2 linked regions of the Neodiprion lecontei genome follow. The protein of the gene in region 1 purifies or fractionates together with the protein of each later gene. This does not show direct contact. Links are inferred from orthologs where the notes say so. Each region holds a gene or a part of one and is shown in the gene's direction. Other genes may lie near its edges. The genes, in order: pre-mRNA-splicing factor syf1 homolog and RNA helicase aquarius.

Evidence for each region.
Region 2: the proteins of pre-mRNA-splicing factor syf1 homolog (region 1) and RNA helicase aquarius fractionate together in Homo sapiens (co-fractionation; 3 studies listed by BioGRID and IntAct, with this or other methods). This does not show direct contact. The link is inferred for Neodiprion lecontei from reciprocal best matches to the Homo sapiens genes XAB2 and AQR.

What each region holds. Positions count from the first base shown.
Region 1 is NC_060264.1:23,211,797-23,223,751, forward strand, and holds pre-mRNA-splicing factor syf1 homolog, read left to right. Parts: upstream 1-5,598; 5' UTR 5,599-5,740; intron 5,741-5,755; exon of another isoform or gene 5,756-5,828; 5' UTR 5,829-5,892; coding exon 5,893-5,934; intron 5,935-6,014; coding exon 6,015-6,163; intron 6,164-6,219; coding exon 6,220-6,541; intron 6,542-6,624; coding exon 6,625-6,924; intron 6,925-6,999; coding exon 7,000-7,147; intron 7,148-7,219; coding exon 7,220-7,371; intron 7,372-7,442; coding exon 7,443-7,663; intron 7,664-7,745; coding exon 7,746-7,908; intron 7,909-7,992; coding exon 7,993-8,106; intron 8,107-8,195; coding exon 8,196-8,358; intron 8,359-8,455; coding exon 8,456-8,565; intron 8,566-8,638; coding exon 8,639-8,842; intron 8,843-8,932; coding exon 8,933-9,167; intron 9,168-9,246; coding exon 9,247-9,402; intron 9,403-9,487; coding exon 9,488-9,567; 3' UTR 9,568-9,736; downstream 9,737-11,955. Other genes in the region: uncharacterized protein LOC107224118, read right to left, coding at 807-1,066, 1,168-1,407, 2,342-2,446, 2,524-2,782; adenylate kinase isoenzyme 1, read right to left, coding at 3,308-3,382, 3,492-3,677, 3,765-3,884, 4,072-4,260. UniProt on the Homo sapiens protein: Involved in pre-mRNA splicing as component of the spliceosome. Involved in transcription-coupled repair (TCR), transcription and pre-mRNA splicing.
Region 2 is NC_060266.1:123,398-133,550, forward strand, and holds the start of RNA helicase aquarius, read left to right. Parts: upstream 1-4,967; 5' UTR 4,968-5,116; coding exon 5,117-5,203; intron 5,204-5,478; coding exon 5,479-6,115; intron 6,116-6,588; coding exon 6,589-6,767; intron 6,768-7,018; exon of another isoform or gene 7,019-7,678; coding exon of another isoform or gene 7,679-8,325; intron 8,326-8,494; coding exon of another isoform or gene 8,495-9,290; exon of another isoform or gene 9,291-9,995; intron 9,996-10,153. Other genes in the region: uncharacterized protein LOC107223546, read right to left, coding at 1,128-1,503, 2,321-2,436, 2,609-2,791; probable G-protein coupled receptor Mth-like 5, read right to left, coding at 7,679-8,325, 8,495-9,290.

The sequences.
Region 1 (11,955 bases):
TTCATTTTCGTTTCGTTCAATGTGATCTATTTTTTATTTTTTATTCAGACTTTGCAGAATATAATATTTAACATACGCTCTGTAGATATACATAGTTACAATTCAGAGTGCGCGTTTCAACCATATGTATTATGTGTATGTGAAAGTTTCCGTGTAAAGAGAGTGCAGAGCGTATATAGAAAAACAAAAATAAAATAAACGATACAGTCATTGAAGATCGCAGAATCCTGAGGGAAAATACACTATGTATTTATATGTATATGAAAATTTGTAAAGTATTTTGAATTTTGAAGATGTATCATATATTATACTATATATATATATATGTGTGTGTGTATATATAATATATACACATATATAAATATATACATAAGTCCTTAATCAGATGTATCTACCTATTTTTCCTATACCTATAGAGAATTTAGAAGAAAAAAATCTTTTCTCGGATCAGAAATACTCCGCATGAAGATCCATTATACCTAAGCATATAATAAAAATGGTCGAAATAAAGTATCTGTTATTGGTTCAACAAAGATATTGAAGGAACAAGCCGCATTAAAGAGTAGAGATATTAAATTTAAAAAAATTGTAATTAGTATATGAATTGAAACGAATTTCTCTTGGAAATTGTTGTAATTAAAGAAACTAAAAAAAAAAAATCGATAGATTGTAAAACATAGCGAAAAGTAATATCGATTTAGGTGAGCATAGAAGCACTACGATTTATTGAACTTTAAAATATAAATATATAAAATTAACTTATGACATTATATCATTGTTGAATAAACCCAATTAATATAGTATAATTACTTGTGGGCTGTATCATTCCTTGCAGACTGACCGACTTGCTTTCTCATACTCCCTGTACCTGAGAGACTGCCGCAGGCTATAGATGGTGACAATTTCTGCGGTGAAGCTGAGGGCAGTATTTCGCAGAGGGATGGCAAAGAGGCATAGCACGATACCACTCTCCACGCTCGGTCCTTGCCCAGAGCAACACATCCTCGTTTCGAGTGTGGCTCCCGCTGTGCCCATCCCCGAAAATCGAAGCAGTCCAGAAGCTCATCTGCAGAGATTTCTTTTCAAGACTGAGCGACCCTTTTTTTTTATTTATTTCTTCAACCTTATATCCAGTCGAGTATATCGATCATTGCAATATTATTATACCAAACTCGTTCTTCCAGAGCCGCTCTTTGCCTTGACTGCTGAGTCCTACAAACGCTGTGCTGATGTTCCCGGTCATCAACGTAGCTAGGAGATCTGTGCGAACAGCACTGACCACATGCGCCAATTTTCCACCCCAAGCTGCGCACTTCTCGCGAGCTGTGCTGTAGTTTGATGGGGTATCTGCGAGCCTGAACACTCCTAATGTTGGTAGGCAGCTTGCTTTTATTCCATGTCCATATGCTATTCCCAGTTTGCAACATACAGGCAGTTGAGGGGCACCGAATCGCACTATTCTGGTCTTTCATTTTAGTTTATTTGTCAGGTGGAACTAGCAATAGTTGTGAGTTCACCAATTTTTACTGGTACTTGTAAAGATCTTAATTTTGATTTCGCTTTAGTTTCCTGTGAGATGCTCGAGTATATATTTCTTTCAAGTCATTATATATAACGACGAATCTGAATTGGGTATTTGATAATTGGTGGACTTAACCCTGCAGCATGTTTTCATAAGCGCAAATGTGGCGTTCCATGCCAAATCAACCTGCAATCTCTGCTTCCTAACCGATTTGATTTTTTATTGCATTTCTTGGTATAAAGGAAATACCCAACAATTCATTATAGACTTTTTATCTGCTAGTTTTGACTACATGAAGTCCTTAATATATTGACTACATGTTATTTTTCAAACTTATTTCTTTTTTCCAAAATTTGTTTCAATAAAATTATTCGAAATGTACAAAATTGCAAGAAATGCTAAGAATTCATTTCATCTGGAGAATATTATTAGATAATTAGGTAAGGGTCACCCTGGTGAAAATGATTTCTACGATTTTCTGCGATTTTTTAGGGAAATTGGGACATTTTGGACAATTTCGCACAAAAAATTGTTTTCGTACAAAATTGTAAACATGCAGTTTTTCATAAAAACTTGTAGATTTTCTGAAAATGTGTATTTTTTCAGTAAAGAATCCACAAGCTACTACAATTTTTAAAGAAAATTAAAAATTCTTTCCGATAAACTACGCATACTTACAGTTTTGTACGAAATAATACGAAATGTTCCAATTTCTGTAAAAATCTGTAGCAGTAGAAATTTTGATCAAGGTAAGCGTTGATTGAATTGGCGTAGAATGCCTTGATGAAGCCCTTTATTCATCTGCAATGTTATTCTCACCCACGTTGCCGCCGTACGCGCTATAGTATTCGAATCTCGAATCCTTGACAAAACTGGTCGATTGAGGATGCAGTTCCATCGGGCATTCCAAAGCGATGCAATTATCTGATGATTATAAATGATATACGAATTGAACAGCCGCGGTGTAATTTAATTCAGGCAGAATTATTATATTAGCTGACCGCTGATCGTGATGTTTGAGGCATATTTCTTCGGACGAAAGTTGAACGCCAAAGCCTTTTTAGAAACGGCAAATTCTTTGCAGCTTTTCAGGTCCTCTAAATTACGTCTCGATATCGGTGTTGCGGTCGACCGCGTACATCGTTTCGTCAAGGCGTAAACCGGGTCTTTGCGAAATGAAATCTGCGAGCACTGAGCATTCGCCGGAGTCCAGCTCACCCGGCTCGCGACGACGAGCACCAGGACCATCCAGAGCACCATGCCTGACTCAAATTATAGCAACTAAATTTGCCTGAATCGTTTCGTTATACTCGACCCTTGATATATTTACAGTTGACGCTGATTTTTCACGACATTAGCGGTTGCGGATACGCAACTACGGTCGCAGACAATGCAGTGTTCAATTTACTCGTCATTGTCATGTGGATGCGTAATTAAATGGCTGCACATCCTGGCTGTGGACATTGAACGGTAGACAATGTCACCTGATAATGACAGACTCGTGTTCATTATCATCGGGTCGGGATGTCAAACTTTAGTGACGCTGCCCAGTGTCCTTGAAAATTGGGCAACCGACGTCTATGATTAATATTGATTTTTATGGATTTTAATGAACAACAATTGAAATTTTCAACTAATCAATATCTTTATTCGTCATTGGGGTGTAATTGTGCGTGAACTAGTTTCGTGATATTACGAAAAATACGTGAATAAATAATTTGCTATAAAATCCTATATTATGTCTATGAGATGATGAAGGGGAAAATTAGGGAACTTTTGCGGATTTTAAACCTTGTTCACGGCATCGATGGCTTTGCTCGCTTCGGCGAAGATGTCCTCGACCGCGCCCTCGGCATTTATCTAGCAGAAAATGTAACGATAAATCATTACAGTTAAATATCGGTGTAAGAATTTATTGCAGCTATGAAACTCCAATGGTCACATGCATTGTACATATGTACATACGTACCTTGACAACCTTGTCCTTGTAATGCTCGACGATCGGCCCGTTCTTCTCGTTGAATACTGCTATGCGTTTCTTGATTGTCTCCTCATTATCGTCGACTCTTCCCGACGAGGCCGCACGACCCAGTAACCTCTTTGTCAAAGTCTCGTTCGCCACGTCGAAGAAGAGCACTAGGTCCACCGGCCCGATCTACGATGGAATAATTAGAGGATTGAGTATATGCGTCGCGGATGCGTTTGGTCAACTGGAAAATATTATGGAAAGCAAAATTCTTACTTCTTTCTCAAATTCAAGCCCTTGGCTAAGTTCCCGTGGGTATCCGTCGATCAGGAACCCCGGGACCTTGTCCTCCTTTCCCTTGTTTATCTTCTCTTTGATCAGTCCGAGGACGACGTCCTGTATAATTGGTGATTAACAAAATAAACCATTGAATACCTTTTTTTTAAAGACATATTTTTGACTTCATATGCAACGTTTCATATTGCAACTAGAACGCGCTAATTTGATTTGATGTTGTCCGAAGACAGACGAGAAGACGAAAGAGAACTCTTTAGGAATTCGGGCCAAATGTCCCGCAACTTACGGATGGTACAAAGAGGCCTTGGGACATGAGCTCTTGGAGTTGGGCGCCCCTTGGACTGCCACTGGCGACTTCGTCCCGAAGAAGATCACCGCTGCTGAGATGAAGGAAGCCGTACTTTGCAACGATTTTCTCGCACTGGGTGCCCTTCCCGCATCCGGGACCGCCGACGACCCACAGTGTAACAGTCATCCTTCTCGATTTTTTGCTAACGTGTGATTCCTGGTTCGGCGCCTAAAAAACCAACAGCTGGGTCAGTAGTCGTGGGTTTCTGAACCACGAGCGGTATAAGAGTAGAGCTGATAACTCGCACAGCTAGGAGAATTTTATTTTTGAATTATACGATCTACTGGCATCCGTCCAATTCCGGCTGTTAGATGATTCGCTTTCGCATGAATTTATACGTTCGACGATCGCACGCGTGTTCTTAATTTATTGAAAAATCCCGAGGCCGGTCAAGTTATGTAACTGAACAAATTGTGTTCGAGCAATTACATTAAAAATTACAGAGCACCGTTGCGAGGCATGATTATTCCGGCTTACAAGCTGATGATTATCATTCTGTGCCCAAATCGGCGCGAGACCTCGCGTTACGCAGGTGCAAATTCGAACGCAACTAACCGACGTACCTCGATTGTTGCACCTTACCTGAGCGTGGTTGATCTTCGTGTTCGCGATCAGCAGATTAGAAGCCTTGTCCCGATAGTCGGCGACGAGAAAAAACGAGATGAACAGCAGCAGCGGAAGGATGCTCCACCAGAATAAACGTATGTCGGCGGCAGCGGTGGCGAGATCGTGGTTTAAATAATTGTGCAAGTTCTTACACGCGGATATACATATAATTATTGCCCTCCCGCGCTAGACAATATCATACAGCGCGCGCGTTACGCAAAGCTGCGTTTATAAATAAGTGCGTTATAGACGCGCGTTCAAGGTTTTGACGAGCTTTTAACATCTCTTCGCTGTTCTATTATACCTATTCGTTCTTGCAAACTGGTGTCATAATGCCAGAATGCATCAGTTTTCTTCGATATACGATAAAGAGGCTTGCAGAAGAGGAAAGCAGCTTTTATCCATATTCTATAAGTTTGAAATACGCACCCTTGTTTATACTGTATGAGTCATCCTCACAGTAGGCATGGTTCATGTAAAGTATACACGCATATTACAGCAAGAGTATAATAATTAAGCGATCAAAATACCAAAGGTGACGCATTTTGACTCCATAATTGCTGTCTGTACTTGTTTAATTGCCATTTTTACTAAGTAATGCGTGAATTATTGGTGATGGACGAATTAAAGTCTTAAAATAATATATAAAAATGAATTTAAGAGGAGCTGAGAGGAATCGATAGTCGGGTGCATGTAGAAGTGTACGTGTATAATCCGCATCTAATTGCAGAGACGATGTAGCTGGTAATTCCATGATAAAACGGAAGAGAAAGTATTCAAAGTGTGTTTGTTTACCTCTACTACTAGAATTATTTTACAAACAGCACGGAAGGTTGGTTTTCGCTGCTTTCATTGCAAGCGAGATATAATTTGGAAGGTGAAACTGTTCAATCCCAATTCCTACGGTTGACATTCGACGATAGGACTGCCGTCCTCTGGTGTCTTTACGGTCACAATAGATTCGGAAACAACTCAACGATTCCCCGTCTGCTCCGTCTGCGTCTGTATCATTTTGGTAGTTTCGGGTTGTTTGACGCGGTATTACTTGCTAAGTTAGGTCGTGCTATACAACGCTATACGTGTTACAGTTATGTCGCATTGTTATTAATTTGAAGAGAATAAAAGCCGGGTCTAGTCATTACTTGAGCAGAGATGATGCAGCGAGAGGATTCTGATGGGAATAGTTACATCTTCGTGAGTATAACCTTTAAATATTTTCGGTAACTAAACCTAACCTCAAAAAACAAATCAGCAACCTTCGTTATCTCTCGCAGAATGAGGAGGATCTGCCTTACGAGGAGGAAATCCTGCGGAATCCTTACTCTGTTAAGCACTGGCAACGCTACATTGATCACTTGAAGAGCACGAAGAGCGTTAACCTCAATATTGTCTATGAACGAGCCTTGAAGGAGCTGCCGGGAAGGTGAGCAAAGAGTTGCTCTATACTTTGAACGATCACTAAATGAAAATATTTTATAGCTACAAGTTATGGTATAACTACTTGCGTCAGAGGGTAAAACAGCTGAAGGGACGCTGCGTGACAGACCCGCTCTACGAGGATGTAAACAATGCTTTTGAACGAGCACTTGTATTCATGCACAAAATGCCTCGAATCTGGATGGACTATTGCACCCTGATGACCGATCAGTGTTACATCACGAGGACCCGTCAGGTATTCGATCGCTCGCTTCGGGCTCTTCCCATCACGCAGCATCATCGTGTCTGGCCACTTTACATTGGCTTCCTCAAGAAACACAATGTATATGAAACAGCTGTACGCGTCTTCAGGAGATATCTGAAGGTGAGTACTCCCCGATCGATTTATTTTCATACTAACATGAAATGGTACTCAAATACTACACGGATTAAGTCACATGGTTGCAGTTAGCTCCAGAAGATGCAGAGGAATACATAGAGTATTTGATATCGACGGGAAGACTGGACGAAGCTGCGGTCAAATTAGCCCAAATCGTAAACCAGGACGACTTTGTGTCAAAGCATGGTAAATCGAACCACCAGCTGTGGAACGAGCTCTGCGACCTTATATCAAAGAATCCTACCAAAATAAAATCCTTGAACGTTGATGCAATAATCAGAGGTGGATTGAGGCGATATACTGATCAGTTGGGTCCACTGTGGAATTCATTGGCTGATTATTACGTTCGTAGTGGCCTTTTTGAGCGCGTAAGTATCTTTTACAATTCGCAAAACAGTGAACGAGATCTTTGTACTTGGACCAAAAGGTTGTTTTTTCCATAGGCCAGAGATATCTACGAAGAAGCAATCCAGACAGTTTCCACTGTCAGGGACTTTACCCAAGTGTTTGATGCGTATGCCCAGTTTGAGGAACTCAGCCTCAGCAAGAGGATGGAGGATGCTGCCAAAAATCCCAATCCAACCGAAGAAGGTAAGTCTTAAATACTTGGCTCATTGACCCAAGTGAGATTATCTATTGTCTACAATTTCTATGATTTTATAGATGACATTGAACTCGAACTTCGATTAGCAAGATTTGAACACCTCATGGAGAGAAGACTGTTGTTGCTGAACAGTGTGCTGCTTAGGCAAAATCCGCACAACGTTCAAGAATGGCACAAACGAGTCATGCTCTATGAGGGGCAACCTCATGAGGTAACCAAAGTCGAAGAAACGTCAACATCTCTGCTTGGTTGATCAAGTCACTAACAGATGAAATTTCTCAGATAATCAACACGTATACAGAGGCTGTTCAAACGGTGTTGCCACAACAGGCAGTTGGCAAGTTGCACACACTGTGGGTTGCGTTTGCCAAATTCTATGAAGAGAATGGACAGATCGCAGATGCCAGAGTTGTTTTCGATAAAGCGACGCACGTCGCATACACGAAGGTTGATGATCTTGCTTCCGTTTGGTGCGAGTGGGCCGAAATGGAGATCAGGCACGAGTAAGTATTGATCATTACAAATAGTTGCAATTCCATTTTAGGAATTTACTGTAATTATGGTGTTCCATTTTCTTGTAATTAGCAATTGCAAAGAGGCCTTGAAGCTTATGCACAAGGCAACCACCATGCCCTCACGCAAAGTTGCGTATCACGACGAGACTGAGACCGTTCAAATGAGATTGTACAAGTCACTTAAAGTCTGGTCCATGTACGCTGATCTCGAGGAGAGCTTTGGTACATTCAAGGTACACCATGTAATATATCTATTGATTGTCAATAAAACTGGTCAACATTGAGTTGCTGATTACAGATGAATTTTCGTCTTTCAGACGTGCAAGGCTGTGTATGACAAGATCATAGATCTCAAAATTGCGACGCCGCAGATCATCATAAACTATGGTCTATTTTTGGAGGAGAATAACTATTTCGAGGAAGCCTTCAGGGTGGATATTTCTTTTTCTCTCAGCATGTAGCAATACACCTTGTATCTACATATCGCGGAATATTCGACGTTTACGCTTTTTTCTTTCAGGCCTACGAAAAGGGTATTGCTCTGTTTAAGTGGCCAAATGTATATGACATATGGAACACGTACCTCACCAAATTCCTGAAAAGATACGAGGGAACGAAATTGGAAAGAACTCGCGATCTGTTTGAACAATGCTTGGAACATTGCCCACCAAAGTATGCGAAGGGTAAGTTTGTTCTAAAATTGAATAGGTATACCAAATTTTACCTAAAGCCTGTCCGTCTTGATTTTAAACGACATTTAAATTCTTTTTGTTTATCAAGCTCTTTATTTGCTGTACGCGAAACTGGAAGAGGAACATGGCTTAGCAAGGCACGCGATGTCCGTATACGAGCGAGCGACTAGCGCTGTTTTACCAGAAGAAAGATTTGAGGTGGGTAACGGTGTTCGAAAGAATAGGTAAAAGTTTGTTGGGCGTAGTTTTTTCAATTTTTCATTCCTTTTAGATGTTCAACATATACATAAAGAAAGCCGCTGATATATACGGAGTGCCGAAGACGCGGCAGATCTATGAAAAGGCGATCGAAGTTCTGAATGAAGAAAATACGCGGGAGATGTGTCTCCGGTTTGCAGAGATGGAAACTAAGCTCGGTGAAGTCGATCGAGCGAGGGCGATTTACGCTCACTGCAGTCAAATATGCGATCCCCGGGTTAGCGAATTGCTTAACTTTATTTTAGTTATCTTTCTCAATGCTCTGTACGAGCAGCAAATAAGTAACACAGTGGTTCTTGTTCCTTAGGTAACGTCTAATTTCTGGCAAGTTTGGAAAGAGTTTGAAGTCCGCCACGGCAATGAGGACACGATGCGGGAAATGCTGCGAATCAAGAGAAGCGTGCAAGCAATGTACAACACCCAAGTAAACATGATGTCAGCACAGATGCTTAACAGTGCGACAAATCTCTCTATCGATGACAGTGCTGGCACCGGTGACGCTATGCGACTTTTGGACAACAAGATACCCTCAACCAGTACAGGTCAGTTTCTGGTTAAGTGTACGAACCTAAAGAAAAATTTGTAAAATGACTCATGTCTAATTATCGTTCCTCCTTCCAGATGCTGCTGCGCAACCCGGATTCAAAGATAATATCAAATTTGTACGAGGAGTAACTGAAGGAGCTGGAAAGTCCGAACGTCAAGTGAACAATCCAGATGAAATAGACATTGACATGGACGACGACAGTGAAGATGAGGAGAAAGAAATTGAAGAGGGTATAGTATTACATCTTCTTGTTCACTAGGAACGAAACTCCTCTTACACGAATATCCCCAGTTTGATGGTGTCTCGTTTTTCTAGATGTACCGGTAGAGAAACAAGCCATTCCATCGAAAGTTTTTGGAAGCCTCAAGGCCACCAAAGAGGACGAGGACGACTAAAGATTTTTCAATACGACATATTTGTTGTCATACGAGCATTCACCACTATGGTTTGATTCGAAGTGGAAAAAAAAACAAGTAAACTATTGTACATGTCGTTCATCTGTTTGGCTCCGAGCATTGCCTTGCACGTGGAGAATTGAAAATAAAATTCTGATTCGCGCCTGTATTGTCCGCCTTACCGTTTCTGTATCAACCTTGCATTTTGGAAAAACTTATGCGTAATAAAATATCAAAATGAAATCCTACAGATCAAGTTACGTTCAACACCCTAATGGACTGCCTGAGTGGTTTGGATCCTAAAATTTAAATCGATTGTATTCCACTACGTTGAAGAATATAAAGACTGTTACCCCTAGGTAAATTTTTGTGACCAGTTTTTGGCGGCCAAGTGAGCCCGGGTGGGCCTGGGACCGTAGAAGGGTTTTGCTCTATCGACTCTATCTAACGGGCTCTCGCCGACATTCCTAGCAACTAAAGTAGTGTCGGTATGGAAGCTTGAGATTGAGTCGGCACAAAGTGAGTACGTAAGACTGTTGACTGCGACTTAGAAATGTTCATCAGCTCGATGATCCCCGTGAGGAGACGCGTAACCGCGTCCACCGCCAACCGCCTCCGACGACCACCGCATCCACCGTCAACCACCCCAAATACCACCGAGCACCTCCAACCGCCGTCAACCACCTCCACCCACCTTCGTCCTCCCCCCCCCCCCCCCCCTCTTCCTGCTCGTACTCGCCCAACCCCCCGACCCACGTCTTCCTCGTCGACCGCCGATCACCTCCAGTTACCGCCAAACACTTCCTGCCCTCTCCAACCTCCGCCTAACCCCGCCTGCCACCTTCAAACACCTCCTACCACCCCCTGCCACCTCCTACTAGCACCTACCGCCCCTGCCACCTCCTGCAACCTCCAACCAGCTCCTACTACCTCCTACCTCCTCCTACCATTCTGAACACCTCCTACTATCCCCTGCGGCCGACGGCGATCTCCGACCACCTTCTAGCGCCCCCTACCACCTCCGACTAGCGCTTACCACCTCCTACCATTTCCGAACACGTCCAACCACCTCTGACCACTTTCGTCCACCTCGTCCACCTCGGCACCGTCCTCCTACTCCTCGCCGTCCATCGACCGCCACGTCGTTATCGTCTTCCTCGACCTCCGCCGATCACCTTCAACCACCGCCAAACACCTCCTACGGTGACTGATGAATAAATAACGACAGTTACCCTAACGCCGTGCCCTAAGGGGCTTTGGTGTGACAACCGAAAATCGTCGTGCGCTTGCGTGGGCGATTTTTTTTTTTTGGTAAGGAGAGAAAGAATGAAGCTTCTCAAAACGTCAAGTGTATTTTAACACACATTTGAAAGGTACAAGCAAATTTGTATCATCCAACTGTCGCAGAACGGCAGCGTTATTAGCAGACCCGTTAAATGAAGAATATATGTCTTTAGTCAAGGGCTGACCATCGAAGGACCTAGTCGCTTGAATCGGCAGGAAAGATAACGTGCATATTTCTTGTGTGTAATGTGAGAACTAAAATCATGATACATCTCGTCATATCATGCATCATACATCATACATCATACATGGTATTAAAGTTCAAAACCATAGTTTGGATGATCGGATTTTCAGAAAGTGACGTCTCCCGAAATTTTTCTTCTCTTGACGTCATCGATCTACAGTAATCAGCTAGTCGAATTCCTCAGTCTGGAAACAACCACGCAGTAGAGCGGACGTATGAAAATCGCGCTCCCCAGATTTCGGGTACCGGGTTCTCTACCTTCTGGATCCTGCGCTCCAAGTCCGCTTCCTGGTGCACGTCGAGTTCCGGGACTAGCGCTCCATAATTTCGGCGCTCCAGGTCCGCTACCTGGTGAAACTCGACCTCAGAGATAAGCGCTCCGACAGCCGGGAAATGACGACGAAAAGATCACCAGTTGAAAAATGTGAAGAACACAGGTTCTGGTTTTTCGCCTGTAACTTTTGACCCGTTGCTCGCAACGTATTGGTACTGCGCTTTATCGATTTCTCTCCCAAAATTACGTCGGAATAGTGCCAGAAAGAATTTATTTCAGCAGTTTTCAAAATCACGAAAATTTTTGCCAAAAATACATAGGGGTTAGCCTTACTTATTTTTTGGGAAAAAAATTTTTGGTCTCAAATTCGATTTGTATGACACTTTACTGCCTGATTGGACCACCAGGAACTCAGAAAACGCAGCAAGAAGTGCGTAGGACCAACAGCAGAGAAACAACGATGGAAAGAGCACCAGCTGAAAAATATCTAAAACACAGGAACTTGTTTTCTGGCTGTAACTTTTGATCCGTTGATCGCTGCCTATTCGGACTGCACTCAATCGATTTCTCTCGCAAAAGTACGTCG
Region 2 (10,153 bases), on another chromosome or scaffold:
TTTAGGGAAAACGCGTACAACCAACTACCGCGCGTACAATACTGTGCTTCTAATTCGTCGAAACTTATTTTTTTCTACTCTCCGATCGTAGAAACGCGTATGGTTGGCCAGGCGGTAACCGCAGGAGCCTTCTCTGCTACGGAAGGCTGCTACGTACTTCCAGAGACTTGTCGGCCCGGTGAACGTTGAACGGTGAACGGTGAACGGCGAACGGTGAACGGAGAATCTCCATCGCGCCTCGGCACACCGCGCCTCGCCTCGCCTTCTTTCCTGGCTCTCTATTATACGCTCTGCACCTACAGTCCACCTTCGATATACCTACTACAGCGACAACATATCGTCGCCGTTACCCCTTTACCCTGTATACCGCTCTCTCCTATCCGTAGTGTATCTTTCGATCCGGTGAGAGGCAAGAGCTCGAGGTACAGTACGTTGAAGAGAAGAGAAGAAGAAAGAGTTTTTACCGTTCGATACTGGTATATTTATAACACACGCACAGAGTTATGATACATTTAACCCATTTGTGTGTACCTATATAGTATATACTGATATATACCCGTACGGTGTTACTATAATTTCCTCGTCTCGCTGAATTGGACCTCGCGATGTACACACATATCATTATTATACGTAGATATACATCGATGTTTGATTAATTAATAATCAGTGTACTGCGGCACTGACCGGTTCAGTTTTATCTGTTTATTTATATTTCACTGGATTGATAATGAAAATGTATTCCAATTTTACAATCTTACAATCAAAATTATTACTAATGATGAGACATGAAACGTGCATGAGCAGCAGATATTGGAAAGACACATGCTCGCACGTACCTTCCTTCTCTTTCTAATTTCTTGCGTACAATGAAACTTGCGAACATATGCCATTTCATTACACCGCTGGAATTTCTGCAATCCAAACCAAGATCGCCCGCCAACAAGCAACGTAACGTCTTCTTGTATATTTTCCTGCTCACGGAATGGGGATGACTTACGACGATCGATGTGCAGGACAAACTCTTACCTGTCTTGTTTTCACAGTGTACGGAAATCGGTATAATGTTCGCGTACACAAATGTATACCACGGTGAAAAAGATGCGGGTGTACAAACGTAAAGCGACGTGTTATAGGATAGATATGTCGGAACACGTTCTGAAGGTCTCCTGGGGTCCGCAACCAAGAGATCCGGTCTGCCCGAATCCGTCGTCGGTAGAACACAATCCCCAGTTGTTGCCCGTCCTCCAGTGCCATCTCAGCACGCAGTGTTCGCAAACTAATGAGTCTGGTAACTTGACGGTTGCCGTGTAGCTGCCGGTAGCCGAGGTGGCGAGGGTGTAGTCGTAAGAACCTTCGTCCAAAATGAGAGGATACATCTCGAAACAATCTTCCGTCTCAATTACTTCAGGACCATCCTCGAGTGGGCAAATATTGAAATTAAAATAGCCTCTGTGATTTGCAGTTATCATCACGGTCAAGTTCACCCATGATCCTTGCTCGTAGCTGTGGTCGGATAATAACATTATAGAAACACATGACTAAAATTAAAACAATGCGTGGCATAAAATGCAGTTGTTCCCTAAATACGCTAGAACACGTTAGTTAGTTTATGTCACGTGAACATATTATAATCGCCGGGTCAGTTTGCTCGAAAGTAATTTTAATATACCGACAGGGTCATTTGTAATCCGCCGAATACTTGACTCGTGAGCAACAATTAGAACCGCTTGTGCGGGTATCGGCATATGTATCGTGTAAAATCGCGGGCGGCGCGGCGACGTTATTCGCACTCGATTTCAACAACCGATAGAAATTATCCCGTATGAACAGGTATATGTATATATTGTAATATACGTATATGCGTATAAGGAATGCGTGGACAGACATCACCTTTCCGTTTACTCATTTTCTGCAGTCTGTTATTTCTTAGGCTTGCTTGTACAATCTATACGTACCTATATCAAACGTGTCATTGGTACGTTATACTGTTGATAATCGCAGATAGTGGAAATCAGTGTTACCCGTAAAGATAACGGCTGTCGATCATATCTTACCTTTTAATTTTGATCGTCCAATGATTCTACGTATATCCGTATCTGAATACTTTCTGTTCTTAATATTCATTTCAGCTTTTTGCATGAATTGACTTATTCTCAACCGTCAGACGTTCGGATATAAAAAAATATGCACCTATATCGGTGTGACGGGACACGACCCCGCACCTTACAGACTATTGCTGTGCAAACTTTACTTTTGTAGTATTCCTTCGTTAGTCGGCATCAGCAGCTATAACAAGAATAAGAATAATAATTAAACTCACGTGGCAACAATAATTCCATTTCCATAAGTCCCTGTATTTTCGTTCGGTCGCGGCTGCTTCAGTGCATAATCGTCTCCGCATATCCCGCATTGACCGCTGTTCTCGCTCCATTGTTTCTAAGAAATTCAACAAAACGACGTATAACCGATCTACCGAAACTTCTTTCATATGAAGGACATAACAGATATTATCATATTGTGCGCTAATTCTACAACCGAAGTGCAGCGAACTCTGGTAACGCAGGACAATTGGTGAAATATAACCATTGGTGATTGGTGAAAGACCTACCGCGTATCCTCCGCAAAAGTTTTCGTTGTCATTGTAGTTTATCGGAGTCGAGTATCCCTTTCGCCACATGCTACTCCTATTCACTGGATCAACAAGCATACCATGCCCGAAAATCCCTCCTACGAGGTGCAGTATTATCAGCCACGACGATGCGACAGTCTGGTGCAGAGCAGTGCCGCGCATCTCGTCGGTACGATTTATTACGTGTTATTATAATATCCCGTGCGATTTCAACGATAATTTGTTGATGCTGCAGGCGTAACGCCGAATATTCACCGTTTACGCTATGGGGTATAAATCACGAATATATCACCAGCGGTCCTCAACTCGCGAAAATCAAATTACGTTAAGTCTACTTCGCTCCACGCATCGCCTTTTATAGAACCCGTGTGTTTGTCGCAGTTCGAGCGATAAGGGACATTATACCTAGTGTTTTAAGTGTCATGCGTGTCTTGATATAAATATGACTGTATCCGGTAGGTATACGATGTAGCTGCGTGACGCGCTATGTAGACCACACCCTCCCTGATGATGAGGGTATCGCAGGAGGGTTACTTGTGCGATATCAATTTATATACTGACTTATACCTGCTGATGCTCGACAATGCGAGAAAAACTTGGCGGTGGCAAACGACCCTGTGTATACTTGGCCAGATTACCAATATAGTGCTCATCGCATCGATGTAGGTCCGAATTGTATCCAACGATCAGCATTGCAGGATTGTACGTGGCTTTCGATAAATGTCAAGCCTTGTCGGTTACTGGTATAAAATGAGGGTGACACCAGTCGATCACGTTTTCCGAATACCGCATTGAGGTCAATTTTCACAATTCTTATTGGTTATCTTTCCAATTCCGACAAAGCTAATGTATTACAAGCGAATACTCCTTATACTCGCTGCATTCACAGGCTCACTTATTGAACCCGTTTATGCGGGCCTCGTGTAAAATCGGCTGCGTCAGTCGCAGTCGTAGCTAGTATTCAATAATTGAGCCTCGCATGGATGTTCATTGTGTACCTATACAATAGTCTTTCCCTATACTCATATAAAACGCGCCACGCAGAAAAACAAATTTGTCACATAAGCCTCGAGTTTGTTATTGTCCGCTACAATCGTGTAACGTGTATAGGTAAGTATTGCGACAGCGACAGTAGCGTATGTAACTTAAGTAACATATAAATTGATACTAACAAAATTTCCCACCACTTATCATAAAATCGTGGCAAGTATAATCACCATGTGCAATCCTGGTAGCGATGCGATTGTTCCTGCTGTAACCATTTAGTATAGAAACGTCATGCATATTTGCATTGGAATCGTTACGTTATATATGTATATTCCAGTGATATAATTTCTACGCCCTGCGCCAATTTACTTCCAACTAACCGATAATGATCTTTCTCGCACATTTTTCGGAAGACTACATGGTCTTTCGTAGAAACTGTGTTAACAACAACAACACAACAGTTGATAAATGTGTCAGGTGAAATTAAATCGTATAATGTACGACCGTCCAGTTGTAGTTTCATCATCGAGCGCTGTAGAAGTGACAGGAAAAAAAATCATTGATACCATTACCACGTTTTTCAATCGACGGCAAAACCGAGATTGCTATTGATACTGCAATTTCTTAGCATCTCTACATATGCCGTGAATCTATCTTAAAGTGTGCTGCTCACACTCGCGTTGAAGGTCACTCACGCAGCGGCGACTATCATCTCTACAACTTGTGTGATAACGGTCTGCTGGAAAGAGAAGAAAAAAAAATAAATAATGAAATATAACTGACATTGGACGCGAGATGTCGAGGAGGGGAATCATTTAATATTTTTTAACACTACCGTGGGTTCATTTTATGTGTAGCGATGATAGTAATAAACTTACTATCCAGCTCAGTATGCATAGCGAATTTAAAATGTCTTTTCATTTATGTTGCAGAACAAGTCAACAACTGACCTGATTTCGATGCTCATTGTCGCCACTTACTCCTTCGCCCCTTTAAGCCAGCTGTTCATGCATTATTTCCGTTCCCATATTTCGTGATTCGGTCGCTCGCGCTCATCTGATCGGAAATTGCATATTTTCTGATGGCTTGTAAAACAAACTGAGTATTTCAACTGAGGAAATGTTTCTACCCACCATTATGTCATGTGGTTCCGAAACTAGCCGACGGCGCGCCAACAATCCCCTAGAACTGAGGCGGAGTTACCCACGAACTCGGTAGTGCAAAAGAGATAAACTATAGTTGACAGCACTGTTAGCTAATTTCGGAACGCATCCGTGAGTCCATTCGTGGTGCATGGATATTCCGTGACATCACCTCCCTTGGCAGACCGTGTTTATGGCGTAGACAACAATTGTCTAATAAACCACAATCACAACCGGCGTCAACGTCTGACGATTTCATCCGTTCAATCACGGTCGTTGGTTGATCACAGGGACGAAGTTTGTCTTGTAGGAGTTTAATTTCCTACTCTTACAGCGTTGAAATACTTCATATCTGAAAATGGAAAATCCAGCAGTTTCACTCCTCGTTAAAACTAATAATCCTGCGCCCACGGTCGATCAAATAAATGCCGACAGAATAACACAGGTAGCATAATTGTATCGTATTTTCATGAATTATACACATGCTCGTCTTGTTTTTCATACTCTACCTCGTCGCCATAACAGAGAACGTAACCGAGGTGAATTATACATTACATAAATCATGCGCATGTAATGATACATGCCTGTGCGGTAGCGGCGAGGAGGTTATGTTGACCGGTTGTTTTGAATGCAGATATTAATTCATACGATTTCATTGGGCGGTTACAAAATATGCACTTACATATCAAGTATTCACCTGTATACGTTTCCATTTTCCAGTTGGCCAACAAATATTGGGCACCTCACACAACCAACTCACACCTCCAGTTTGATCCGGTAATCATCGAAGATATATACATACAAGAGATATGTGCTTCAAAGTTTTCAATCAGGCGCATAATGATGCTCGAATTCAGCCAATACCTGGAAAATTATCTTTGGCCAAATTATAGTACAGGAGAAACGTCACACAGTCACATGATGTCGATAGTTGTAATGCTGAACGAAAAATTTCGAGAGAGAGTCCAAGTCTGGGAAGCTTTTTCGAAGAATCCTCAACATTTTCCTGGATTTTTTCAGCAAGTTCTGGAAGCTTGTTTGAACGAGAGTACAATGGATTTTGATCTTAAAGAACAGACGGCGCTTATTGTTTTTTTGAATCATTGTTTCAATTCTATGGAAGTAGCGTTAGTGAGAAATGAAGTTAAGAGGTTGGTGTCATTGTCAATGTGGGTATCACTGCAACAGGGCAGACGTGAGTTTGAGTTTAGAAAGTTTCCCAAGTGGAGAAAATATTGGAAAATTATACAAAAGAAAGATAAGCCAGAGATCAGACAGAAGTTGGACTGGGAGCGGAGATTCCTACAGAGATTGATGGTCAAATTTATGACTATCCTGGAAACTGTACCACTCGAGGGTGAGTCTTTCTATGAGAGAGTTTTTATTCAACGGTTGAGGAGATCAGTATCGTATCTCAGAATTTTATTGGGGAACATTGCAATTCTGGAATGTAATTGCGATTATACGGTAATTGTTTGAAATTTGGATTTGCAACCTTTAATTCTTCAAAGTCCATTTAAAGATGTAAAATGCTGATTTACTATTCCATGTTTTGTTACATTACCGTTACTGATTTTAATCCAATCTCTTCCTTACGATTGGGATGTTGATGGCATCCTTTTCTGTTTATTTTTTTTTTTTTACTGTCATTTATAATTACAACAATTTAACTGGAAATATCGTTTCTCAAACCTTGTGCGTGTTTATACCAAGTTGCCTCATAAACCCAATTTGATTGAAATTATTTTGGTCATTTAATGGGCAAGATCTTTTTTAATTACTATATTTCAGCTGATATACTTACATCGTGCCCTTTTTGCCACATTTCAGGAGCAATTTTTCCCGACAAGATACATTATTGCGAAAGGTTCTTGGAGTTGGTTATCGACTTGGAAGCTCTTCTGCCTACCAGACGTTTCTTCAACACAGTCATGGATGACAGTCATTTGGTAGTACGGTGTCAACTCTCCAACTTGGTGCAACGCCCAGAGGGAGGTCTTTTCAACCAGGTGAGTAATCTTATTCAATTTTCTCCTGTATTACCGTCAGGATGTCGTGTGTGAAAAAGCAACAAACACGGGCAATAACTTAATTGTAACAATGCTCGCACATGTTACACCTGGTATATGCTTTGCACTTTCTAGACACAAATGATTTGGTTGGTACGGTATTCCCTAAAAATAATAATCAATACTTGCTTCTTGGATTAGTCGACTACTACACGACACAAGACGTATGTACAAATACACTTTGACTTCGGTTTGCAGATTAAAAAAATTTTATTCATGTCAATTAATAGATTTAGGTATAAAGATTTGAGATCGCTGCACTAAACAAGTGAGAGCCTTAAAGTGCGTTAGTGTTCTGTAAATATTATCATTAAATATTTCAAAACAAAGGCACTGTGCAAGGTACAGAGTTACTCTTCAATCGATGAGCTTAATCCTAATACTAATTGAGAAATTCCGTTTACTTAAAAATAGATATGCTTCCTCGAAGTTGGAGTTAATTTTTTACAAAACCAGATGACGGGCTAATATATTTTATAATTTGTTTCATCAGTCTCGTGCGACGACTCAAACAGCAAAATGTATAATTAGTTAAGTACTTAGATATGGTGCGATTGCGTCAAAGGATTTGATTATACGATCGAGCTAATTGTAGGAATTGATTGAGATTTATAAAAGTAGTACCCTTGGTGCTGAAATTTGCATCCTTCAAAATGATTGGATAATTTATGTGGATAATCGGCTGTTGCCGACGAAATGTTAAAATCTCTGGATTTGCATTAGTATGGTTGAATGGTAAATACTTGTCAAGTCATGGGAAAAATAGATTCAATTGTGGAATGTAGGTTTCACAAACTCGTTGACAATGAAATTATTAGTCAGCAGTAGGGACTCGGCAATGTGCGACACAGTTATCCCAGATTAATAGCTGTCATTTCTTCACCCCAATCGAGGCCCTGAGCAGTGTCACCTGGGCTGCAACAGTTGCAAGTTTTTCTCAACAAGAAGGTGACTCTTCTTTGACCGAACACGCATACATATAGAATTAGAATGGCTTGTAACAAATTTATGACAATGGAACAGTATTCCAACTCTGATCTCATCCAGGAAAGTAGGGTAAATGACCAGGCAACCCCCATAATAATAAATAGAAATACAAACATTCTGAAACTATACTTCATTTTATGGTGAATTCTGCCATACGTGTTCATTCGTTTCATGAAATTTGTGGTCGTCGCAACGAACCATACATTAAAAATGACACTAAATGCAACGGGCGTAAAAAGAACTGCTACAGCCAGCCACCCTATGGTTTCCTGGGGGGCGTCCGGCACGTCGACTATCATTGGTTTGTTGGTGTCCAACTTGAAGTGTGAGAAAATCGCCATTGTTCCTATAACTGTGGTTAGGGACCACACATAGAGAGAGTAGTAACAGTACTTTTTTCCATCGGTCGAGCGGAGGAAAATGTTGCGTGATCTAAAAGTCTTCCATATATAGTAGCCCAAACTGCTTAACCAGAAGAACGCCGACATCAGTGACACATACATAACTACATCTGAAAGCAATAGAGTTGTTAAGTACCCTGCCACACCTATGTTTACTCAAACTATTGTAAATACGAAAGCTGGCAGACCAATACTATAGTGGCTAATACTACTAACCATTTAATTTTAATTTAATATTCATATCATACTCAGCGGATAGTACATTACTGCTGAACATACCTGCGACCAAAAAGTTCACATGACTGCCAAACTCGGGGAAAATTCTGACCATTGCCGCGCAATGATTCGCCACAAGGCATAGCATCAGACTTGTTACGATATTTCCAATCAAGTTCTTCAATTGCGGTAAGACAAAGTATACGATCGCAACGACAAGATAGCAGGCAATGGATATGGCTCGAAACGACGGATCTATAACTCGCCGCATCATGACGTCTGTATGCATGACGTGTTTCTTTATCGGCAAACACACACGTGCATAGAATGTTGTCATGTTTTCTTTGCGTAATATTGTCTTGTCAGCGCAGTAGGTTCCAAATTCATAGTCGTAGTATCTCTTGTTTTTGGCATTGTTCCGTTCACCTTCCACCAGCTCATCAGCAGTCGAGTCCGTATTGTCAAGGTTACACTGGGTGCAATGTCGCAGCTTACCAGACGAGAGGATTCTCAGTAAATCCATGTTGGGAGGGTTCGGCACGTCGTATATCTTCCACTGTCTTTCATCATTTTTACACTTTGGTAGTCCAAATTTTAATTCAAATTTTGGCTGGTCTGTTAAACCGTGTCCATCCTCGTCGGTAAATATCGGCTTCCACGGTCCTGCTCCGTGTGTGGCTTCTTTTATCGGTGTACATCGATCATCGACAATCAGTTCGTTGGATTTGCAGCACTTTCCAATTTTTATGGTAGCGACGCTACCTTCATCCGAGGATGATGCCGAGGATCCTTGATACATGGCCAAGCCAACTGTGATACGAACTATTATTAGTGTTACATGCATGACCATAATGTGCATTTCATTCAATTATATTGAATTTCAGTATCACGCGAGCCGCGGCTCCCGCTGTCGGCGCGGCTTTTTTATTCTCCTTATATCACTCGGACTTGACAGTTGTACGATTTATCGGTATTTCGTTATACCGGCCCGGATTTCTTACAGAACGTAGAACGATCACCCGTGTCGTATCCGGTTCGGTCACTCATGTCTATTCCCCGAATATGTATCCGAAAATAGCAGTCACATAAATTCGGCCATTTGATCAGATTTGTTTACCTTCGCGTTCTTTTCCACCCTTATTCGAATGTACGAAAACCCTCTGCTTTTTCGCCCACCTCTTGGCCAATAATTCCCATTTGCATGTCTCAACAGAAATGTATATTGCAGAAATGCCAAGACTAGGTTAGGTTACGTTGAGCTAGGCAAGGCCAGGCTCCTTGGGCTAGGCTAGGGTAGGCAAAGCTTGTTCAAGTTAAGTTAGGGTTGAATTAAGGTTGAACCCAGTGCTGCCAGACTCAAATAGCGGAATATACCCGTACCGTTTATAAAATCACCGATTTTACCCGCGCGCAAATTCAAAATACATGTAAACAAACAGCGCAATATAATCGCTGTAATTCGTAGCAAGAAGTAGTTATGAAGTTGATTGTTCGCGAGTTTATCGAGCTGAAAAATTCAAGATTCTGACTGAAATAAACCAATGCGAGCCGAAATTTACGCTGCGTCGCCTGTCGGAAAGCTATGCTTTTGTATTTATTTTTGGATTGTTTTCATCCTCTACAGCAATTAGTGTATCAACACAACTGTCATTCTCACGGACAGTTCAGCAAGTAGTTATCGGGTAATAAACCGACATTTCATGCTCAATTTCGGACGAAAGC